Linked DNA regions of Canis lupus familiaris. The protein of the gene in region 2 interacts with the protein of the main gene of each other region in a pairwise test. Links are inferred from orthologs where the notes say so. Each region holds a gene or a part of one and is shown on either strand. Other genes may lie near its edges. The genes, in order: MTF1, AP1M1 and TGOLN2.

The links.
Region 1: the proteins of AP1M1 (region 2) and MTF1 interact in binary tests that used the Homo sapiens proteins (3 or more experiments, as listed by UniProt). The two-hybrid records come from large-scale screens. The link is inferred for Canis lupus familiaris from reciprocal best matches to the Homo sapiens genes AP1M1 and MTF1.
Region 3: the proteins of AP1M1 (region 2) and TGOLN2 interact in a two-hybrid assay, tested with the Homo sapiens proteins (2 studies listed by BioGRID). The link is inferred for Canis lupus familiaris from reciprocal best matches to the Homo sapiens genes AP1M1 and TGOLN2.

What each region holds. Positions count from the first base shown.
Region 1 is NC_049236.1:4,785,607-4,789,437, forward strand, and holds part of MTF1 (metal regulatory transcription factor 1), read left to right. Parts: intron 1-1,364; coding exon 1,365-1,428; intron 1,429-2,704; coding exon 2,705-3,132; 3' UTR 3,133-3,831. UniProt on the Homo sapiens protein: Zinc-dependent transcriptional regulator of cellular adaption to conditions of exposure to heavy metals. Binds to metal responsive elements (MRE) in promoters and activates the transcription of metallothionein genes like metallothionein-2/MT2A.
Region 2 is NC_049241.1:46,698,270-46,702,719, reverse strand, and holds the start of AP1M1 (AP-1 complex subunit mu-1), read left to right. Parts: upstream 1-1,423; 5' UTR 1,424-1,548; coding exon 1,549-1,590; intron 1,591-4,450. UniProt on the Homo sapiens protein: Subunit of clathrin-associated adaptor protein complex 1 that plays a role in protein sorting in the trans-Golgi network (TGN) and endosomes.
Region 3 is NC_049238.1:40,036,275-40,040,841, forward strand, and holds the start of TGOLN2 (trans-Golgi network integral membrane protein 2), read right to left. Parts: upstream 3,109-4,567; 5' UTR 2,968-3,108; coding exon 2,922-2,967; intron 2,702-2,921; coding exon 1,512-2,701; intron 1-1,511. UniProt on the Homo sapiens protein: May be involved in regulating membrane traffic to and from trans-Golgi network.

The DNA.
Region 1 (3,831 bases), on a different chromosome or scaffold from region 2:
GTCCCAGAGCCTAGGCTGCTGACTGCTACCTCGTATTGCCAGATGAGAGGTGCAGAGTCGAGGCTTGTTGGGTGGCCATACAGGTCAGGTGAGCCTTGAGGTATGAGGATGATATAGGTGGAGAAAAGAACATATTAAGTAGGAGAATGTCTGGGTGAGTGTATGACGCTGTCAAACTGGAAAGTAGTTTAGGGCTAAATAAAGCATTTAGGTTCCATAGATCAGGTGCCAGCCACCTCTGGAGGCCACCTGGTTTCATGTTTAGATAGAGTCACTGGAAAGGCCTTTTTGGTGTTCTAATCCAATCTGCTCTGTGTCATTTTAATAATTGTTTCTTGGACCTGCCCTGGGGAGCTGCATGGAGCAGGTGTCTTTCCTTTTCCATATAATTCATTTTGTGTATTTAAATAGGGGTCTCATTTCTCCACCATTATTTTGTCATGTCAGCTCCTGTAACTTAGCCAGAAGCTTTCATATTCTTTCTACACTCAGCCTAGAGATGACTTTTCTCCCTCTTAAAGGGATAAAAGACAAAGCCTTTTTAAGAAAATACTTGAAGAAAGCAGAAATTCTGTAGCCAGTGTAACAGGAGGTGTTACCACAGTGAAAAAGGATGATCTCTGGGCCTGACGCTACGGTCCACCTCATAATAACATAAATAGGGCAAGAGGCTCACCGCATGCCGCAGGTTCTACAGGCATCCTCTCATCCACCCTCACAGGGGCCCTCTAGGAGGTCCTTTGGTTATCATCCCCGTTTTACCAATGAGGACACTAAAACTCTGAAGAAGTCAAATCATTTGCCTGGCCTTTACAACTAAGAGGTGGCAGGGTGTGGACTTGAGTCCAGGGCCCACCCTGGAGCTACTACCCTGTGTGGCTTAAAGCACACCGCTTGGGGCCTTCACGGGACTCTTGTGCCAGTGAGAGGAAGTCTTAGCCAGTCCTTAGTGTGCCACTGGATCCTTGAAGAGACCGAAAAACTTTCCAGCCTTGTGGAAGTATTGGGGTGTGGCAGCACTGGAGGGCTTTTAGGGAAGCTAGCCCTGGGGATCCCTGGGAGAAGACCACAGCTTGAGCAAGGCAACCTTGGTGGAGCCTTTGAGCAGTCAGAACCTACCGGAATGGGCAGCTGGGAGACAGCCAAGTAGTAGGAGACAAAACTGGCTGCATCGTCAGCACTGAATGTCAAACAGTGCAGTGACCTCATGTCAGAGCACAAACAAAACATCACTCAGTGCAAAAATCCTTGAACACTGAGGGTTTTCTGTCCTCTTGACTAGTACAATCGGGCAGGCTTCAGGTCTTTGGAGATCTGCCATACTTGAGTGGCTATAAATTGTGATTCCTCTTTTTTTCCCCCAGCAGCAAGCATCTAAAGTTGAGAAGGTGTTCTTTACCACTGCAGTACCAGTAGCCAGTAGCACAGGTATGTAATTGTGTGTTAGCCTTCAAAGAAAGTGAACTCTCTGGGCCCCTTAGGGCACAGTTAATGGTTGCTTTGCCCCAGATTTAAAAAACTCTAATTTGTCAGATTGTAATGTTTATTTATTAGAGTATTTCACATCTTCACAACTATTGGAAGTTAGCGTATCTACGGCATAAATGCTATATTTAACATTCCTTAAGGAGCAATGGTTCTTTTCTTCTCAGATATAGCTTTTAAATGTAACCAGAAGAAAGTTTGACTCGCAGTTAATGCCAAAGAGAGCAGCTGTTAATTCTTTGGACTCTTTTCTAACTACAGTAATGAAGAAATAGCATGTGGGTCAGAGACTCATAGAGTGAAATGTGCCTTTTTTTTTTTTTTTCAAACTATTTTATAGATTAAGAAATGGGGCCCTGAAGACTTAAATGACTCGTCCAAAATTGTCAGTGAGTTTGTGGCAGAGACAAAGCACTAGTTCTCAGGTCTCCTGATTCCCACTCTGTTCTTCTGTTCTCCTGTTCTCTGGTCTCTAACTTTTTTTTGAGACACACAAAGCCTGTCTGATTTCACAGTGGGACTATGCAGAGCACACACACACGCACAGAAGAGCAGGAGAATGTGCATGAGCGCAAGGCTGACCGTGTACAGGGGGATTCCCCCCACCAACCATGTGTCTGAGCCTGGGGATGGGAGCATGAGGCTCTGGAGGAGCTTGGTCTCAGGCAGGCGAGACACAAGCCCCAAGTCCTACCCTGTGTGGAGAGAGGTGCGAAGGGAGGCAGTAGCTCCATGCATATGGTTGGGAAGCTCATGGGCCCATGGGCAGCTCTAGGTGTTAGCCTGCTGGAAGCAGCATCAGGAGAGGAGGGGATGAGCTGGGTCTTCAGAGAAAAGAAGAGGAAGTTCTCCGGAGAAACAGCCCTGTCTGGGGAGTTTAGGCAGAAGCAAGAGCTCATAGGCCCAGAGGTATGAAGAACACATGTCAGGGAAAGGGACACATATGCTGTGGCTGGCATGGAGGGGACAGGGCAGAAAGGCTGGAAACGAAGCTGGAAATACAGGGTCATCTAGATGGTGTGCCTGGCTCTCTAAGGACAAGGGACTTTGGCGTGGAGGGGATGGGGAGTGTCAGGCAACACAAAGCCTGGAGCATGGCATCCTTCCTTGTCACCATTCCTGCCTCCGAGGCACTCGGCACTCCCCTAGTCTGTACCCCCATCCCTCACGCCCCTGCCTGCGGCTACTTGAGGAGCAGTGTCTCTTGCCTCTCTCGCAGGGAGCTCTGTACAGCAGATTGGCCTCAGTGTTCCTGTGATCATCATCAAACAAGAGGAGGCGTGTCAGTGTCAGTGCGCGTGCCGGGACTCTGCCAAGGAGCGGGCAGCAGGCAGGAGGAAGGGCTGTTCTTCCCCACCCCCTGCAGAGCCGGGCCCCCAGCCTCCTGATGGGTCCAGCCTGAAGCTACCACCGCAGACTTTTTCCTCGCCCCCTGGCCCCCTGTCGTCCTCCTCTGCTGTACCCTCTTCCTGTGAGCAAAGCAGACGAGCAGAGACTCCTTCAGACCCTCAGACAGAAACGTTAAGTGCCATGGATGTGTCAGAGTTTTTGTCCCTCCAGAGCCTGGACACCCCGTCCAATCTGATTCCCATTGAAGCACTACTGCAGGGGGAGGAGGAGATGGGCCTGACCAGCTTCTCTAAGTGAAAGGGGGCCGCCTGCGCTCACCTCCAGCAGAGGAGGCCGAGCGGGAAGCAGAAAGTGTGGTGCCTGCCATCAAGGGGGGTCAGCAATTCGAAGGATGAAGAAATCTACTGTTTGAAATCCTCACCTTTCAGACGTATTTTCTTTAGTCATATCCCAGGAGCATCCATTTTAAGGAACTGATCTTTGGAGAAAAAAAAAAAAAACCAACAAAAAAAAAAAACAAAAAAAGCTAAGTTATAAATGAACTGTTTGGCTGCACTGTATGTCACTTTTGCTTATTGTCATGTGAACTTGGAAATTAAGGTTACTCGTATGCATAAACATTCGAAAAGAAAGGGTGTGGATTCCATCAGTCTGATGCTGCCCATCACTTGCACTGGGGTCTTCGTGGTTTGGGCAGCAGAGCTCAGTGGGTCGGCTGTCCCTCTGCCCTGTGCGACTTTTGAGTCTAAGGCTGAGGCGGAAGCGGGCACGGGAGGCCAGACCCTCACTCCACCAGAGGGGGCTGTGGCAAAGGCAGGCCAGACAGCTGTGAGCTGGACAGGGATTGGGTGAGGTGGTTTTGTTGTTTGCTCTTGCTGTCGGTGGAGCTCAGGGGGACTCTGGGACTCTGGCAGGTGTCATCCTGCAGCCAGCTGCAGCACAGTGGGTAGCTGAAAGCCTGGCCTGAGGCTGTGTGGACGATCAGGTTCTGGGGGG
Region 2 (4,450 bases):
AGTCATTGAGATTTTTAAAAGCTCCTCAGAGGACCCCAATAGGCAGCAAAGCCTGAGAAACCCTGGTCTACCACAGCAGGTCTGGTCTTTTCTGAGATGCTGCAGAGGTCAAATCTGGCTTACACATTAAGTGTAAACGCCAAGGATGACATTCAGATGTGATTTGAATTCCCCACACACACACATGGAAAAAGGAGGATACGAGTCATTTTGTGTAAACGGTTTACCGCGATGGTGCTTTTGGTGCTTGGGAGTCTTCCTCCCTCCAAAAGACTTTTGTCCAATTTGTACTCCTAGCCCTGCCCCCCTCAGTACTGATTTTAAACATCTAAATATTGCCTAGAGCAAGCCTGAAAGGAAATGCTCCATAATGAGAGGGTCACCTCTCCAGGGTGGTTTTTCTTTTTGTCTTAGGCTTTTTGGCATTTCCTTAGTTTTCAGTGAGGTGTATAATTTTGTAATTTTCAAAAGACCTGTTTTCCTACAACATTGAAATAATTTGGGCAAACCATGAGGCTAGGCATAAGAGAGTGCAGTACAAGACATTGTCAAAACTCTCCCAGATGTTTCGTGGAGCCCAGTAGTCTTAAAATATTCCCGTTTTCTCCTCTGGATTTTCTTGCACTTCATCTCTATCCAAAGCAGAGTGTGTATATAATCAAAAGCCATATTTCAAAACCCCAAAGGAGGTAGGAGGGGAAGGTTAAAAGTCGGAGGCAGGCAGCCTGAGTAAATGGGACTGATGCTGCAGGGTTGGGGTCCCCAGAGCATTGTGCTGGTTCCCTGGGACAACGTGGAGGCATTTCCCACAGCCCGAGTATTCATAAAAGCAATGAGATACTCCGCTGCTTCAGCAGGGGACACAGTTGGCATCACCCACTGCAGTCACTACAGAAAGAAGTGCTTTTCTCTAGGATTCGGTGGGGCGTGGTTTTCAGGTCATTCCAGGCAATCAACAGGCACTGACGAGGGTTGACACTGACAGGTGACAGGTAGTGACTGTCGATAAGGCCCGACTGCCATTCAGGGTTGGGCTTCTCTCCGAGTGACCGCCACCTTCCCCTTCCCCCGTAAGGCGCTGTCACAACTGGTAACTTTATTTGTTCCTAGAGTCCCCCACCGGACTCTGAGTGTCATGGGGCTGGGCCCAAGGTGAGTTCCACAACCGGTGCGTCACCTCCCTGGGACCCCGGAGGCGGGGCAGGGTTTCCAGCGGGCCTGGCAGCCAGCGAGTGCGCCGCTTCGGTCGGCCCCGCCCGGCTCCGCTCGGCCAAGCTCGGCCCCGCCCCTCTGGGCCTTACTTCCGGGACGCTTGACGCCGGAGCGGGAAATAAGGTCACATCGGGCGTATCGCGCCTGCGCGCACTCCGCCTCGCGCCTGCGCCTTTCCGGCAGCCCCTCCCCGACCGGACATAACGGTCCGCGCGCGGCTCCCCGGACCGGAAGTGGAGGCGAACTGTCGCGGGGCGCGCCCGGCCTTGCTCAACGCCCGGCAGTCCCCGCCGTCGCCGCCGCCCTCGGCAGCTGCCGAGGCTTCCCGCAGCCGTCATGTCCGCCAGCGCCGTCTACGTGCTGGACCTAAAGGGCAAGGTACATATGGCTCCCCACCCTTCCCGTTGCCAGGCAACCGGTGGGGCCTCGCCCCCTGGGGGGACCCACCCTGTTGCTAGGTAACTGGCCAATGGGACCCACCCTAGTCTTAGGCAAAGAGGCTGCTGGGCCTCACCTGAGGGCCCCACCCTGTTGCTAAGTAACAAGGCGGGGGCTTCGATCCGCGAGCCGCGCCCTGTCGCCAGGTAACACAGCTGCATGACCCCCTCCCCCCTCCACTGTGCGCCGGGTGCTCCCGCCTCGTAGGGGCATCGGGAAACCCGAGGCGGCGGCAGGGACGGGCCGCAGCCGTCCGGGAAGCCAGGACTGGCGCTCAGGGGCTGTGCGACCCTTGGCCGGAGGTGGCGAGGCGTGTCGGGGACAGCGCGCCCTCGGGCCAGCCCCGCCCTCTTTACCCGGCGATTTCATCTTGGCAGTCCCGGCTAGAATTTCTTAACGTTTGGTGTGACACTGAGTTACAGGGTTAAGTGAAGTGGGTGGTGGGAGGGCCATTTTACAGAGGGGGAAGCTGAGGCACAGGCAGGCAACCTGCCCAAGGTCACCCCAGCCATAGAATGGCGGGTCTAGGAGTCAGCTGATATTTGGGGAGCACCTACTAAGTGCTGCACGGGGTGCTTAGTCTTGGGCCACCTTTGGTGAGCAAAATTGGGAGTCGTCGTGGAGCTCGCAGCCTGGTGAGAGAAAGGGACACTGATCTCAGAAAGCACAAATCAATGTCAGTTGCCCTACTAGAGCAGTGAGGTTGTAATAGGAGACTATGCCTGGACCAGGGGTCAGGGAGGGCTTCCGGGAGGCAGTGACAGATCTGAAGGAAGAGTTGCACACGACTAGGACCCAGGTGCCTTTCCCAGGGGACTCTGGGAAAACTTCTTAAAGGAGGGGGTCTCAGAGCCTTTCCAAGTGGGCTGCTGCCTTTCCCCGAGTCCGTCCTGGCTAGAAGGCAAGTGAGTATTGGCCTCTTGATCTGGGAGTCACAGGAACGGCAGCAACAACGCTAACAAGTCCTGCACAGATCCCTGGGAGAGAGGTGGACGTTGGGCCTCGCGGAGCAGGCAGGAGTTAGCTCAGAAGCAGTGGGGAGTGAAGACGTGAAGTGGCTATCCCTTCCTGCCCCCACTCCCAGGGTACCCCACCCTAGCACTTTCCGAGAGTTCCTTGAGTGGGTCGCCTGCTCTGGATGCCACCCAAAGTCAACAGCTAGTGAGGCCCAGTGCTGGGCTCCCTTTCCCAGCCCTCAGGCAAGGGAAGACACAGGGCACCCCAGGGGCTGAGTGTGTGCAGCATTCCAGAGTGCCTGGAACTCCTGTTCTTCCTTCCACCCTGGCCACCGTGTCCGCAGAGTTCCCAAAGGCTGCCTTATCTCAATCTCTCATTCCTTGAGCAAACATTTCATGAGCACCTTGCATGCACCAAGCCCAGTGCTGACTACCTCACTGTGACTGTGCAGGTAGGGCTGAGTTCAAAACCCATCTCTGCTGCTTAGTTGTGTGACCTCAGGCAAGTACCTTTTCCTCTCTGAGCCTTGTTTTCCTCACTGCTCGCACAGGCTGGTTATGGTGTTATTGGACAAACTCTCTGAGCGAACGTTTGAGACAGGCTAGCACCTCGCATGGCCCACGGTCCTTGTTAACCCCATTGAGGACCTCAAGGTCTAGTAGGGGAGACACATGGAAGCTGGCAGATCCAAATGATCAGATCTAGGTAGATTGCAGGGGCATGGACACAGCCCCAGGTAATACAGTTGCCAGCCTCAGTTTTGGCTGCAGATGAAAAGCAGTTACAGAAGTCTTCCTGGAGGAGGGAGTTCGCCAGAGCTGGGAGCAGACCAGGTATTAGGTGGGCCAGGAGGCATCGCAGTTGGCCCGAGGGATCAGAGCAGCCTGCTGGGGCTGGCAGGTGAAAACCTGGGTAATGCTGGAGCCTAGAGGGTGACACCAGGAGGGCCATGGGTGGTTGAGAATGTCCCCATGGGTATGAGAAACAGAGAGGACCAGTGTGATCCTGGAAAGGAGGAGATTGTAGCCTGGGAGGAGCATGAGCAGACCTGCCTTTTGGGAAGCTCCCAGGGCAGCCATGGGCTTGCCTCTCATCCCCAGCAACCATCGTGCTATTTATTACTCCATTCCCCATGGACCTCAGGTTTTGAAAGGACCTTTTGTGCAGACTATATTTAATAAAAGGTAAGGTAGTAGCACAGTAAGAAATTCATGACCACAAGCCAGCCAGCCAGTGCCTTGGATCACCAAGGAAACCAGCATGGCCATGTTGAGCTGCTAGAAAGCCCTCCACCGACACTTTGCCCTTATCTTTCTTGTTTCTCTGCAGCTTCTGACACCACTGCCACACTCCTCAGTGGGCTTCCATTGGCCTCCTGAGGCACTGCTCTCTCTCGTTTTGCCCCTTTCTGTCACCGTCTCCTGGCCCCTCCCCTGGGATGTTGGCTCCTCTGGCTTAGGCCTATGGGTCCCACCCTCACTGTCCCTCTCCTTGGGTGGGTTTTGATTCAAGTCAGTGTGCAGGGAACTCAAGTTTGTACCGTAGTCCACAGTACTCACCTGGAGATCCATTGTTCTCAGGGACATCTCGGAGGTCCCACAGCTGCCACAAATCTGGCATTTCCCAAAATGAACTCGCTGCCACCCCAGGCCTGCTCTCCTCATCTCAGTGAATGACGCCACTGTCCACGTGCCTGCCCTCATTGGAGACCTGGGTATTATCCTGGCCTTTTTCTCCTCACCACCACGTTCACTCCACAAACATTCCCTGAGCACCCCCTGGAGTCAGGCTCTGTTGTGGATGCTGGGACATAGCCCTCAACAAGTTGGAAGTGGTCCCTGTT
Region 3 (4,567 bases), on a different chromosome or scaffold from region 2:
GGCTTATTTCAGTCTCTGAAATCAGAGGTCATCACCTGGTAGTACATTTTTTTTTTTTTTTTTTAGATTTTATTTATTTATTCATGAGAGGGAGGGGGTGGGTTGGGCGGAGAAGCAGGCAGAGGGAGAAGCAAGCTCCATGCAGGGAGCCCAACGTGTGACTCAATCCTGGTCTCCAGGATCACACCCTGGGCTGAAGACGGTGTTAAACTGCTGAGCCACCCGGGCTGCCCTGGTACTACATTTGTTAATGACCCCGGCAGTGAAAGAGCCGCAAACTCACAAGAGGCATCTTTAAATTATAACAGTTTTCAGGAGGACGGGGCCTCCAGTTACATCAGAATCTTTTATACTGCTAAACAGGAAATGACAGATGAAGGAAGACTATTCTGGCCGTTAGCCTGTGGGAGTCTGGATGATTTACTCAAGAGCACAAAGATCTGCCAGCTGTGCCCCACACAGCTCTAGGATCAGACATTCCTTTTCTCTCACAAGCAATAATTATTTCTTATCTGCAAATGTACTTTTCCTCCCCACACCTTGCTTCATTTTAACCTTACTGCTTTTACATCTAAGATTACTCTGTGGGACGAGCACTTGGATGTAGAATAAAGAACTATTTTTACTAAATATCTTCCCTCATTCCTCATAGCCATAGGCATACTGATATCATAAACTGAACTCTCCAATTTTAACCAGGCTATAGAAACTACTAAATTCTTAGAGCTAGCGGGATCCCTGGGTGGCTTAGCGGTTTAGTGCTGCCTTCACCCTGGGGCGTGATCCTGGAGTCCAGGGATGGAGCCTGCTTTTCCCTTTGCCTGTATCTCTGCCTCTCTGTGTGTGTCTCTCATGAATAAATAAAATCTTTAAAAAAATAAATTCTTAGAGCTCAATAAGAAATGCAATCATTTGTCATCAGAGTGGTTGCTAAGCAACACAGATATTACTCCACACCAAATCTGCTGTAACATTAAAAGACGATTGTATCCATGCAATTTTTGGTCATTCTTCTAATCGGAAACTCAACCGATTGTAGAAGATAGTCCCTGGGCTCTCTGCTGCTGATGTCAAAGACTATGTAACCACTCTTTCTGCCATTGCAGATGCAAGATAAAAGTGTGGGAAAGGAAACTAGAAATGATGCACTATCTTCAGAGTGGAAATAGGAAGATAAGTACTCTACTTACAAACTGTCAGGTACTCAGATTCTCGGAGGCAGTAAAATGATCTAAATTTAAGATTGTGGGAGAAGACCCCAATTCAGGTCAGATCATAAAAATGTCCTCATTTGGCACCTAACACAGCAGCAGAGGGCACTCAAAAGAATCGGACATGAAAGAAAATGATTTATAAAATGAGAGTAAAGAGACCTAGCAGAATCTGAGGAAAAACTGAAGTTTGACTTGAAATCTCCAGTGCTCACAGGCAGATGAATGACAGATATTGGCCCACACACCAAGCTTTCAAGGTGGAGGAAATCTCATTCCTCAAGACAGTTCTTGACTTACCTTCCGTTTATTGTGATAGGCAATATAGAGGACAGCAACAAGAATGGCTGCAGTCACCAGATAAGCAAAGAAGTGGCTGCTTTCTGCACTAGCACTTCCAAGACTGTCCTTATAAAGGTCATCATTCTGCCTACCCACAGAATCCAAAAGTGTCCCTTCACGGTTCTCACTGGAGGCAAGGCCAGGCATTTCTTTCTCTCCTTGGAGTGGTGAACCTTCTTCAGGCTCCGTATCCCCTTCCTCAGCCTTCTTGGGTTCCACATCTTCGGTAAGCTCTATAGACTTGCCTTCTCCCTCCTGCTGTGAAGTGGGGTCAGAGTCCAGTAATACTCTCTCCTCAGATTCATTTTTATAATCATTCAGAGTGGGATCTTTGTCGGCTGGTATGTTTAAGTGAGGCTTGGTGGGCTTCTTGTTATCAGAAGAGGGGTTAGAGACCAGCTTGTTGGAGTGGTCATTCAAGGACTGCATCTGGGACTTCACCTTGCTAGTGCCATCTCCTGTGGCCTGTGGCTTGGGCTTCTCATCGTCAGGGTCGTCTCCCATAGAGTGTGGCTTGGGCTTCTTGTCAGGGTTGTCTCCCATGGCCTGAGGCTTGGGGATCTTGTCAGAGTCATCTCTGGTGAGCTGTGGCTTGGGCTTGTCAGGGTCGTTTCCTGTGGCCTCAGGCTTGGGCTTCTTGTCAGGGTCCTCTCCTGTGGCTTCAGGTTTGGGCTTGTCAGGGTCGACTCCTGTGGCCTCAAGCTTGGGCTTCTTGTCAGGGTCCTCTCCTGTGGCTTCAGGCTTGGGCTTGTCAGGGTCGACTCCTGTGGCCTCAAGCTTGGGCTTCTTGTCAGGGTCCTCTCCTGTGGCTTCAGGCTTGGGCTTGTCAGGGTCGACTCCTGTGGCCTCAAGCTTGGGCTTCTTGTCAGGGTCCTCTCCTGTGGCTTCAGGCTTGGGCTTGTCAGGGTCGACTCCTGTGGCCTCAAGCTTGGGCTTCTTGTCAGGGTCCTCTCCTGTGGCTTCAGGCTTGGGCTTGTCAGGGTCGACTCCTGTGGCCTCAAGCTTGGGCTTCTTGTCAGGGTCCTCTCCTGTGGCTTCAGGCTTGGGCTTGTCAGGGTCGACTCCTGTGGCCTCAAGCTTGGGCTTCTTGCTAGGGCCGTTGTCTCCGGGCTGTGGCTGCAGCTCGCTAGGCTCTCCTGTTGGGGCCACTGAAATAGAGAAACCAGTTCGCTCTGAAGAGAGGAAATCCGGGAGAAGGGAGCCCTCAGAGCTAGAAGAGACCGAGGCAACAGGCAAACGGGGGAGGTGGGTGATGGCAAGCGGAGGGGTGGCTCCGGCAGGGAAGAAGCGGGTTCAGAGAGCGACCCGGCCGCGGTGAGGACGGTGGACCTAGGGATGATAGTAGGATTATTGGGGGTGGGGTCTTACCCGCCACTGCGAGGCTCAGCAGGGCCAACGCAATCAGGAACCGCATCCTGCACTTACTACTCTTCCGCTCTCTACTGCTCTCGCGACATCCGCGCGCGCACTCTGGGCGCTCATAGCCCCGCCCCTTCCTGCGCTCGTCCTTCCGCCGCACGCCCAGGCGAGGGGAGGGGCCTCGGCAAGGGCGGGAGAGGACGGTGGTTCTGCTCTCGCTGGGGCCGGCGCAGCGTCCCTCGGCGCAGGCAGCTTACACCTTCTTCCTTTCCCAGGTCCACCACGAGCGTCAGTCCCCTTTTCCTTCTTTGCCCTTGTATTTCCGAGACAATTTTGGCAGAGCCAGAGCTCCCTAGCCTGCGGATGGCCCCGTGGGGACTGCACTCGCTGGGACCCGGCGCCTGGGCTTCAGACTGCTCACCTTTCTAACCTCTCTTTTCTCATGGTTCTTTGCTCGTAGCACACAAACGTGTTGCGCTCAGGTCTCTCCCATCTGGAAACAGAAACTGATCCCGTCACCTTTGTAGCGGGAGCCTTCCCAGTCCAGTTCCTCTCTTTCCTGACCCCGCGGAAACTGCTCTCCGAGGTCTCCCCAAAGGTACATCTTTTTTCTGGTCATGAAAGTTCTTCACAGTCATTATAGAAGATTTAGTGAGCGTATTTATAGAAATAGAAGACAAAATCTTTGTCCCATTCTTCCGGGATAATCACTATTAAAGTTTTAGTGTGTTTTCTGCCTTGCAGACATTAAAAAAGAAAAAAGACTTTATTCGTTCACGAGAGACAGAGAGAGAGAGGGGGGCAGAGACATAGGTAGAGGGAGAAGCAGGCTCCTCACAGGTAGCGCGATGGGGACTCAATCCCTCAACCCAGGATCACGCCCTGAGCCCTGAGCTGAAGGCAGACGCTCAATTGCTGAGCCACCCAGGCGTCCCTGTCTTGCAAACATTTTAATATATTTGGTTTGGTACATTCTAATGGTTCAGTAAAAAAAAGCTATACATGAGAAAGTTCTTGCTCCCTACCATTCTACAGTTACCACTTAGTTTATTGTGTTTCTATGTAGTGTTTTATTTTCTAGTGTTTTTTTTTTTTTAACACTTACGTATGTACTTATTTTTTCCTCCGTCTTATATTGGTGTATTTTTTGTTCTTTTCTATACATATTCATTTTCCTCCAAATTTGTATCATTGGGTAAATAGTTTTGTATCATACTGTTTTTTTTTTTATTTTTTTAAAAGATTTTATTTATTTATTCATGAGAGACACAGAGAGCGAAAGAGAGAGAGAGAGAGAGGCTGAGACACAGGCAGAGGAAGAAGCAGGTCCATGCAGGGAGCCTGATATGGGACTTGATCCCGGGTCTCCAGGATCATGCCCTGGGCCAGAGGTGGTGCTAAACCGCTGAGCCACCAAGGGATCCCCATATCATACTGTTTAAAGTACTGTTATGTTTATACATTAATGGCTGCTTGAAATCGTTTTATAATCATTTGCCAGGTTAGGTGCTTAGTAGAGAGTAGTTTTAAAAATGATAGATCCTAACTTAAGAGTGTAGATATCTCCCAGGTGAAGTTGAAGAGAAGAGGATGAGTTCTCCCTTCAGCATGTGCGAAGGCCTGGAAGCAGGTGGGAGCCTAATATTTTGTGGAAG